Saccharomyces cerevisiae S288C: one gene and its partner. The protein of the gene in region 1 binds, or shares a complex with, the protein of each later gene. Each region holds a gene or a part of one and is shown on either strand. Other genes may lie near its edges. The genes, in order: CLP1 and PCF11. A codon is read from its position in the direction of its gene.

Evidence for each region.
Region 2: the proteins of CLP1 (region 1) and PCF11 are in contact, whole or in part, in a crystal structure (PDB 4C0B), measured with the Saccharomyces cerevisiae proteins. Residues at the interface, in NP_014893.1 of Saccharomyces cerevisiae: Gln154 (codon at 1,379), Leu156 (codon at 1,373), Phe167 (codon at 1,340), Thr168 (codon at 1,337), Ala175 (codon at 1,316), Pro177 (codon at 1,310), Ser179 (codon at 1,304), Gln191 (codon at 1,268), Ser192 (codon at 1,265), Leu193 (codon at 1,262), Thr194 (codon at 1,259), Ser195 (codon at 1,256), Gly196 (codon at 1,253), Ala197 (codon at 1,250), Thr198 (codon at 1,247), His201 (codon at 1,238), Asn202 (codon at 1,235), Gln204 (codon at 1,229), Pro205 (codon at 1,226), Met206 (codon at 1,223), Val207 (codon at 1,220), Lys208 (codon at 1,217), Val232 (codon at 1,145), Val233 (codon at 1,142), Gln235 (codon at 1,136), Arg236 (codon at 1,133), Leu239 (codon at 1,124), Asp240 (codon at 1,121), Gln242 (codon at 1,115), Arg330 (codon at 851); in NP_010514.3 of Saccharomyces cerevisiae: Asn460 (codon at 1,074), Thr461 (codon at 1,071), Gly462 (codon at 1,068), Ile463 (codon at 1,065), Ser464 (codon at 1,062), Asn465 (codon at 1,059), Ser466 (codon at 1,056), Asn467 (codon at 1,053), Leu468 (codon at 1,050), Asn469 (codon at 1,047), Ile477 (codon at 1,023), Gln478 (codon at 1,020), Ser479 (codon at 1,017), Arg480 (codon at 1,014), Asn481 (codon at 1,011), Trp482 (codon at 1,008), Tyr483 (codon at 1,005), Leu484 (codon at 1,002), Ser485 (codon at 999), Asp486 (codon at 996), Trp489 (codon at 987), Ala490 (codon at 984), Ala491 (codon at 981), Phe492 (codon at 978), Lys493 (codon at 975), Asp494 (codon at 972), Asp495 (codon at 969), Ile497 (codon at 963), Thr498 (codon at 960), Thr500 (codon at 954).

What each region holds. Positions count from the first base shown.
Region 1 is NC_001147.6:800,470-804,443, forward strand, and holds CLP1 (cleavage polyadenylation factor subunit CLP1), read right to left. Parts: upstream 1,839-3,974; coding exon 501-1,838; downstream 1-500. Other genes in the region: APC5 (anaphase promoting complex subunit 5), read right to left, coding at 1-262; TUM1 (thiosulfate sulfurtransferase), read right to left, coding at 2,081-2,995; TMA16 (Tma16p), read left to right, coding at 3,198-3,734; peptide alpha-N-acetyltransferase subunit NAT5, read left to right, coding at 3,908-3,974. UniProt on the Saccharomyces cerevisiae protein: Component of the cleavage factor IA (CF IA) complex, which is involved in the endonucleolytic cleavage during polyadenylation-dependent pre-mRNA 3'-end formation. Associates with HRB1/CF IB to form the cleavage factor I (CF I) complex.
Region 2 is NC_001136.10:921,356-925,564, forward strand, and holds PCF11 (Pcf11p), read right to left. Parts: upstream 2,452-4,209; coding exon 571-2,451; downstream 1-570. Other genes in the region: chromatin-silencing protein SIR4, read left to right, coding at 1-292; IVY1 (Ivy1p), read left to right, coding at 3,430-4,209. UniProt on the Saccharomyces cerevisiae protein: Component of the cleavage factor IA (CFIA) complex, which is involved in the endonucleolytic cleavage during polyadenylation-dependent pre-mRNA 3'-end formation and cooperates with cleavage factor NAB4/CFIB and the cleavage and polyadenylation factor (CPF) complex.

The DNA of each region.
Region 1 (3,974 bases):
CATCTAACAGTATCCTTATTATATTATCTAGAATAGGAAGTACAGGAGGAGGAACAATAGATGAAGATCTTAAATTACTATTATCCTTGAGCAGAGGATTCCATTCTAGTGAAGGTCTAGTAGGGGATATTAACCGAAGAAATACTGCTGTTGGCACTGATATGCCATTATCTTGTGAGCAGTGAGCATGTATTAGGATTAATATGCATAGATCGTACGGAGTAATAAAGTTAGTAATACCCAATGGACCATACTTACTCATTTTTCTGATCAGTTTTGATTTGCCTTTTCCTTTTAACTCTCGTCGTTTTTTATATTCCTCGATGAAACTGCAGCAGTTTTTTAGCTAGCGCAAATAATGTCAAAGACACAAATTGGCAATATTGTTAATATATAAGCGTTGGAAAAATTAAAAATAAAAATCACCCAAACAATACTTCGACAGTACAGTACGATATTTGTATGGATTTGATATAAGGCTCTTGAACAGATAATTTTACTTACTCTAAATATCTATATGAAGTTAGAATCATCGCCTTGCTGGGAAGTCGGCCTGGGACAGGTAGTAAAACCCTTAATTTACGCCTTTTTTCATTAACTTCTGTAATCAAAGCGAATCCTAAAATAGGCGATTTTATTACTGTTGCCTGATCTGCCCTTCTTTCTGCGAACGTTATGGCTATAATAGCGTGCTGTAGGTTACTTGGAGTTATAGTGACGGGGAACAGTTCCACCCTACCGACCTCGTTATCGAAAACATTGCTAGGTTTCCAAATAGTTAAATCCTCATAATCAACACCAATAGCATAAGGACTCAAGGCTGTATCAAGAGAGCCGTAAAAGTACTCTCTTATGGATGTCCTCTGCAAGGATCTTTTGTATACATCATCAACTGCGGATACACCATCCAATTTAGGAATGAAAAAAATATTATTATTTCCCAATTCTGGACCAAATGTCTTTTTTACTTTCTCCCAAAGAGGATCCGTTTCAGAACATAGTACTAGCATAATGTTAACATTGAGTTTCTCAATGATATGGTGCAGTTCAGCCAAATTTTCATCCAGTTGTGATATTGATGGCGTATCGACAATGCACCCTGATCTCCTGACTTGAGGATCCAAATGTAACCTTTGACCTACTACTTGACCTAACTGGCTTATACACTCAAGGTATAGATCTTTGTTCTCATTAATCCTTTCCAGGCCAAAATTTTTCACCATTGGCTGCTTATTATGTAGTAGTGTGGCACCACTAGTGAGACTCTGACCCCAAGTGGGTAGTTGTGCATCAAGTATATCTGATATTGGGGTGGCAGATATGCATCCAGGAACAGTAAAAATGGGCTGTTGAGGGTCAAGATTGATGTATAGTGGTTGGTAAGCGTTGAATTTCAAAGCGTAAGAACATAGTGTCCTCGATAGGGAAGTCTTCCCGGTTTGCGAACCACCAACAATCACCACTCGAGGGCCTTCAAAGTTAGACATTCGTATCTTCTCCAACATGAAGTGTAGATTATAAATATATTTCATAGTATGGTTAGGCTTGACAGTTATTGTATTCGTAGTTAAATCAGGACATTTCCATAATAATTCTGTTTCTTCGACAGCGTATATGGGAAACTTCCAGTTCTGAAAAGTGTACTCATCATCTACTGCCAACTCGGTGCCAAATATCTCAACTATGCCCGAGTTTACCTTGACTATCAGTTTTCCCTCTGCTTTAAGATCAATTTGCCAATCACTGCCCTTGGGAATAACCAACTTGTGCCATTCGTTATCACCAGTTATCAATTCTTCAGAGGTAGTATGCTCATCAATACCAGGTAGACTTGCCATGATGGTTTAATCGTGTTGGAATTTCGAAAAGAATTAATAGTTTGTTCTTTTCCCTCGATAGAAAGGTCTCTGCTCATTTTTGCCAGCAGTCTTATTTTTTGCTGTTATTTTCTATTTTACCGGGCAATAACAATGAAGAGCACAAATAAGACAAAGAAAGGGAGATCGCCCTTTAAGTAAGTAGATAGATAATTAATATATGTAGCTAAATAAATCGACTTGTCAAGAATATATTTCTCTTATTAATCTCTGTTTTCAGCAATCCACTCGGGCCCGGATTTCAAGACCCACTCGGTCCAGGATCCATCATATAATCTAACATTGGGAACTCCTGCTAGCTCCAATGCTGTCTTGATAATGACTCCTGAAACGCCAGTTCCACAAGAGCAAATAGTTGGTTTACTTGGGTCCAAAGTGCAATGAAAGTCTTTCAATGCCTTTTCCAAAGTAGCGTGTATCGCCTCCCCAGCTTCTGGGTACGTTTTGGTCTCCGGATCAAGTAAACTTCCATATGGTAATGGTTGGGTACCTGGAATATGCCCCGATGGAATGTCGGAACGAGGCTCTGGTTCTGTACCTTCGAATCTACCGAGCGACCTTGCATCGAAAGCATTGAATTTCTTAGCCAGTTCCCCACTCTTTACCAATTGGAACATTTCCTCATAGTCTACAATCTCCTTGTCTTGGAAACTTTCTGAGGACTCATAATGACTCTTTGGATAGGGTGAAAACGCTGCCACCTTAGAGGAATCTAGAGGGTACTTAAACTCTCTGTACTGGTTGAAATTATTTAGTAAGTACACCTTAGGATGTCCCATCACTCCTAATGTCCAAGCACATCTAGGGGAGCTAAAGTTACCAACACGATCGTAAACCACTAATATATCATCTTTTTGAACTCCTAAATTACTCATAGCGTCGTCAAAAACCTTCTTTGTAGGGAACATATGTGGATAGGGCGATTTTTTGTCACTGATTGCATCAATATCAAAGAAAATGGAGTTTGGTATACGTGGTTTGGTCAAGAAATCCACTTTATTATCAAGCTTCCAACTGGGTAGGTACCATGTTGCATCAACTGGAACGATTCTATGAACCTTCTCACTGGCCACTAACTTAACAAACGCTTTTGGAGAAATAAGATCAAATAATGGCATTGAATGTATGGGCAATTTTCTTCACAACTTTATGCTTTTGTCCTCATTGTTTGAATGCACTTACGCTGTATTATTGTACACAGCTGAACATCCCGAGCGAAAATTTTAAAATGGTTTAATAGACGAGATGAGAGATGAGCTCTTTAAAGGTACTTTCTAAGAAGAAAAGTATCGGAACAGGACTTACCACGACAAACTAATCATGCCGGTTACTAAATCTTTATCTAAGTTGCAAAAGAACTTATCCAAGAAAGGGAAAAATATCACGGTTCATCCGAAGGGTAGAAAGTATGAAAAGCTGGTCAGGGCTACTATGCGTGAAGATAAAATCGCAGCCAAAAAGAAGCTTCATCAAGACAAAAGAGTCCACGAACTAGCTCGGGTAAAATTTATGCAGGATGTAGTTAACTCTGATACATTCAAAGGGCAACCAATATTTGATCACGCCCACACAAGAGAGTTTATTCAAAGTTTTATTGAAAGAGATGATACGGAATTAGACGAACTCAAGAAGAAGAGGAGGTCAAACAGGCCACCAAGCAATAGACAAGTGCTACTGCAACAAAGGAGGGATCAAGAGTTAAAAGAATTTAAGGCGGGGTTTCTCTGTCCAGACTTGAGTGATGCGAAGAATATGGAATTTCTAAGAAACTGGAATGGCACTTTTGGCCTTTTGAATACTCTAAGATTGATCAGAATTAATGATAAAGGTGAACAAGTCGTTGGAGGAAATGAATAAGAAGTGTCGCAGAGGAATCTTTATGGTTTATATGCTCTTTATATAATTTTATGTATATTATAGTAGAAAAAGCAAAGAAAAAAAAGAAAATTGATATTATTAGCGAAGCTTTTTCACAAATTAATCCGTAACAAACAAATTGGCAAAGACAATTGAAGGGAGTAGTGCGAAATATGGGCCGTGATATATGCACATTAGACAATGTTTACGCTAACAATTTGGGCATGCTAACCAAACTAG
Region 2 (4,209 bases), on another chromosome or scaffold:
TTCGAAGGACATGAAAGAAGATGGTCTTTCCTTTGTGGATATCGTTTTGTCGAAAGCAGCATCGGCGCTGGATGAAAAGGAAAAACAATTGGCTGTTGCAAATGAAATTATTCGGTCTTTGTCAGATGAAGTTATGAGGAATGAAATTAGAATAACTTCACTTCAAGGTGATTTAACTTTTACAAAGAAATGTCTTGAAAATGCGAGAAGTCAAATATCTGAAAAAGATGCTAAAATTAACAAATTGATGGAAAAAGATTTTCAAGTGAATAAGGAGATAAAACCGTATTGACTTTTTATCATTCTACAAAAGACCAGTAACGAAGTGTACCCTGTTTTTCTTTGTCGTTTTCTTCTATAATGAACAATTTACTTTACGGTCTTTAATCGATTTTAATGATTAGTTGGGCTTTTGGCTACATATGTAAAATTACATATAATATAATGGACACATAAGCAAAAAAAAAAAAAAAAAAAATAAACAAATGAGCAACCCATCAAATACCAAGAACAAAGAATTTAATATAATATATAGTTATTAAATTTAAATGTATATATGCAGTTCTGCTCTTATTTTGTGACCAATTTCTTTAAGTCATCCAAACCGACCTTGCCACTATTAGATTTGCTTGAATTTTGCGACGTTTCATGATAACATGTCGAGTGGAAATATTTGCCATTCACTTCAATAGTATTTTTCCAAACCCATTCACCAGATTCTTCATCATAAACGCCAGTAACGGTTTCCTTACAAATTGGACATTTGAAGGCCATATCTTGTGAAGTTTCTGGTACAACAACATATTTTCCCCGTATTTCCAACTCGTTACTTCTATCACTTCCTAAAGTGTTGTCTACAGAGCCTTCGTCATTTTCATCAGCGTGAATATTTAGGGCACTTTTATCGATATTTTTATTGGCATGCGGATCAGTATAATCATTTTTATGCTTTGTGGAGGTAATTTCATCATCTTTGAAGGCTGCCCATTGAGAGTCACTCAAATACCAGTTTCTTGATTGAATATTTTTCCTTGTGGTAGTTGTATTTAAGTTAGAGTTGCTTATGCCTGTATTTGCTGTGTTTTGTGATCCCTTAATTCTTGTATTTATTCTGAAATGCCAGTCCAAATGCTCATTTTGTAGTAGTTTTTCACTTTCTGAGTTGCCAAATCTCTTACCACACACGCTACATTTATTTGGCTTGGATCGGTATAATAAGTGAATAAGATTATTTTGGACGATGGGATTTTCTTGAAGAAGAGTTTGTTCGGACAGCTGCAGGGATGGGTTATTCAAAACGTCGATGTTAACCGTGGCAAAATAAGCTTTGCAGTCAGAAAGAATATCATTTAATAAGGGTATCTTTGGCAGGTTCTTCATCAATTGTTTTTCGTGTGAATCAAGAGAGTAGTTTGAGTGTCCATTTAGCTTTTTATAAAGCGTTACGATGGATTCTTTTGGTGGAGTATATATGAGCCCTTCAGCCTTAAGAGATGCATAGAGGTTATTGATTTTGTTTAGGGACTTTTTTTTCTCAATTTCTTGAAAAGATTCAACGCCAGAAATATTACCAAAAAGAGAGGAAGATAAAGAATTCTGTTGGTTCGTTGTATCTGAATTATTTCCAAACAATGGAATCGCTGAATTAGAGTTTTGTGTGTAAGAACCGACCATATCCTTAGTTTCGTGATACTGCTGCTGCTGCTGCTGTTGTTGTTGTTGCTGTTGCTGCTGTTGTTGCTGTTGCTGCTGAAGTTCGTGATACCTCATTCTTTCCTGCAAAACTTGTTGGTCCTGTGAGAAGACCTGCCTTAGTTGCATTTGAACTTGTTTCAGAGCATTGAGAGTTAGTTTTTCTCTTTTCAGTTCTTGTTTCAACTGAGATAAAACCAACAGTTTCATTTTTAATTTTTCATCATTTGGTTGATTCTTTAGCCTTTCACTAGTTAAACAAGTTAATTTATCAATGTCTCTTAATAGGAGGGGAACAGTCGGAGTTGGTAACATTGCTTGCAGGTTTTTCTGGTGGAGAGCACTGGCCTTTATTAAAAACTGTTCAATTTTCTCCAGTGCTGAGCCTTCAAACAGAGGCAGGCCGGTGTCATTAGGATTCAACCAAAGCTTAAACATATTGATGAGTTTTGTTCTTGTGGTGTTGTCCACCAATAAGTATGTTCTTTTGTACAAGTTAAACAAATTTCTACTGAAGTAGATTGTGTATGGGCTGCCAACATTCTTACAAATGGAGTCCAAGGCATAAAAAGCGTATAGCTTCTGCTTAGGCATACATTTTTCAATTCTACTCTCAATGGCGTCAACAAAATATTGAGCACACGAAATGTTTTCTTCTGCTAACTTCGTGAGAGTGGTAATAATGGGTCTCGAGTTAAAAGTTAATTCTTCAAGAATACTGTTGAAATCCTTGACTATAACTTCTGTGTCGTGATCCATAATGAAAAGAGAGTATTACAAATAGACCTAGTGTTTTCAAGTACAGTTTTCTTAACTGCTCCGAAAATTGTCCTGGTAATTCTTTGCAATGCAAAATTGAAAGAGAGACTTTTAAACTACTAAACCCTTAACAGTAGAACAACATTGTCTCATTAATTTTTGAAATTTCGCTTTCTTCCCATGCCTTAGGCCAAGTTCTCATCCAATGCGTCGAGTCCTTAAAAAAAATTCGCCCGGGTAAACTAAAACTTAGATGCACTAGGTAATACCATTTGGTGATAAAGGGAATAAAAAGCAGCAAATCCTAGCTCAATTACGAAACTCTGATCACTTGGGGCCCAGCTTCATTGGCTAAATTGGTGTATCCCTTGAACCGACTACGTAAGTACGTTTTGAAAAGTGTGTAAATCTATGTATAAAAGTACATCAAAAATTAGACTGAGAAAGTTCTGTATAGCTGTACTAATACATTAGGAATAGGCTAGACTTCTTCGCCGCTGGAATAAAACAGCTGGGCCTTCTCTTCATTGGTACCACTTGCTTTGCTCTATTGAAAGTACAAAGAATAGAGCAGACGAGTGTAAACATCCTATCTGCGTTCCAACAGAAGTGCGTATTGAAGTCATCTCATGCTAATGGCCATCTCATGTAGAATAGTAAGGAAAAACGTATCTAATTTATAAAAACTTGAGTTAGATCTCAAACTTCGGTAGATTGCGCCTTATTTAACGGATGATATACACTTATTCTACTGCTCACATTACTCGTTTTACAGGAAAAAATGGTCAATGCGGGCAAAAGAAAAAAATATTGGGCGATATGTTACAAGAAAAGGGTGAGATGGAAATTTATGCTAAACATTAAGTGGAAAAAAACCATATCCATACAATAGAAGTATATATTCTGAATAAAGGGTCAATTAAATTTCACCAAGGAATAAAATATTGTTAAAGAAAGTAACAGGAAGAGAAATCGGATATGCCTGACAATAATACGGAGCAATTGCAGGGATCTCCTTCAAGTGACCAGAGACTGAGGGTTGACTGGGACAACGGTAACCATTTTGACGTCTCTCCCGACAGATACGCGCCTCATCTATCTGAATTTTACCCAATTGTAAATAGTAAAAGACCAGTGGCTAGCAGTGCTGGCTCAGAAAATAACGACCATCTGGACGACATGAACCATTTACGTTCATCCAAAGTGTATTCAAAGGCCCGTCGGGCATCGAGCATAACTTCTGGTACGAGCACAATAAACGACTTGCAAACGCTAATCACAAAGAGAGATGTGAAAGAGACCCAGGAAGCCCTATCGACATTACTCAGGAACTCGAATGCTTATTCGGATTCGTTATTAAAGACATCTCAGAATGGGGCAGAAATTGCCCATTCCTTAGAAAACATTGCCAAGTTGAAGGGTTGCAATGATGAAACGGCGGAGAAACTATTGAGTGCCAGTGGGTTATTCTACCTTTTATCTAATCATCAGCTTATAATGTCAAAGTATTTCAATGACTTGTTGGGAGATAATTTAATTGATGATATTGATGAATTCGAATTACAGACCAAGATAATGGAGAACAAGTTCAAAGCACAAAGCAAAGAGCAAAGTTTAAAATTGAAATTGCAGGAAAGACATAACTTCGATATCTCGAAAAGAAAAATAAGGAATTTAATCTCATACCGAGAGAGCCTTTCTAGCTTGCAAGCAAGGTTAGATCAACTGGAGACACTAAAGCACGATTTTTACATGGAT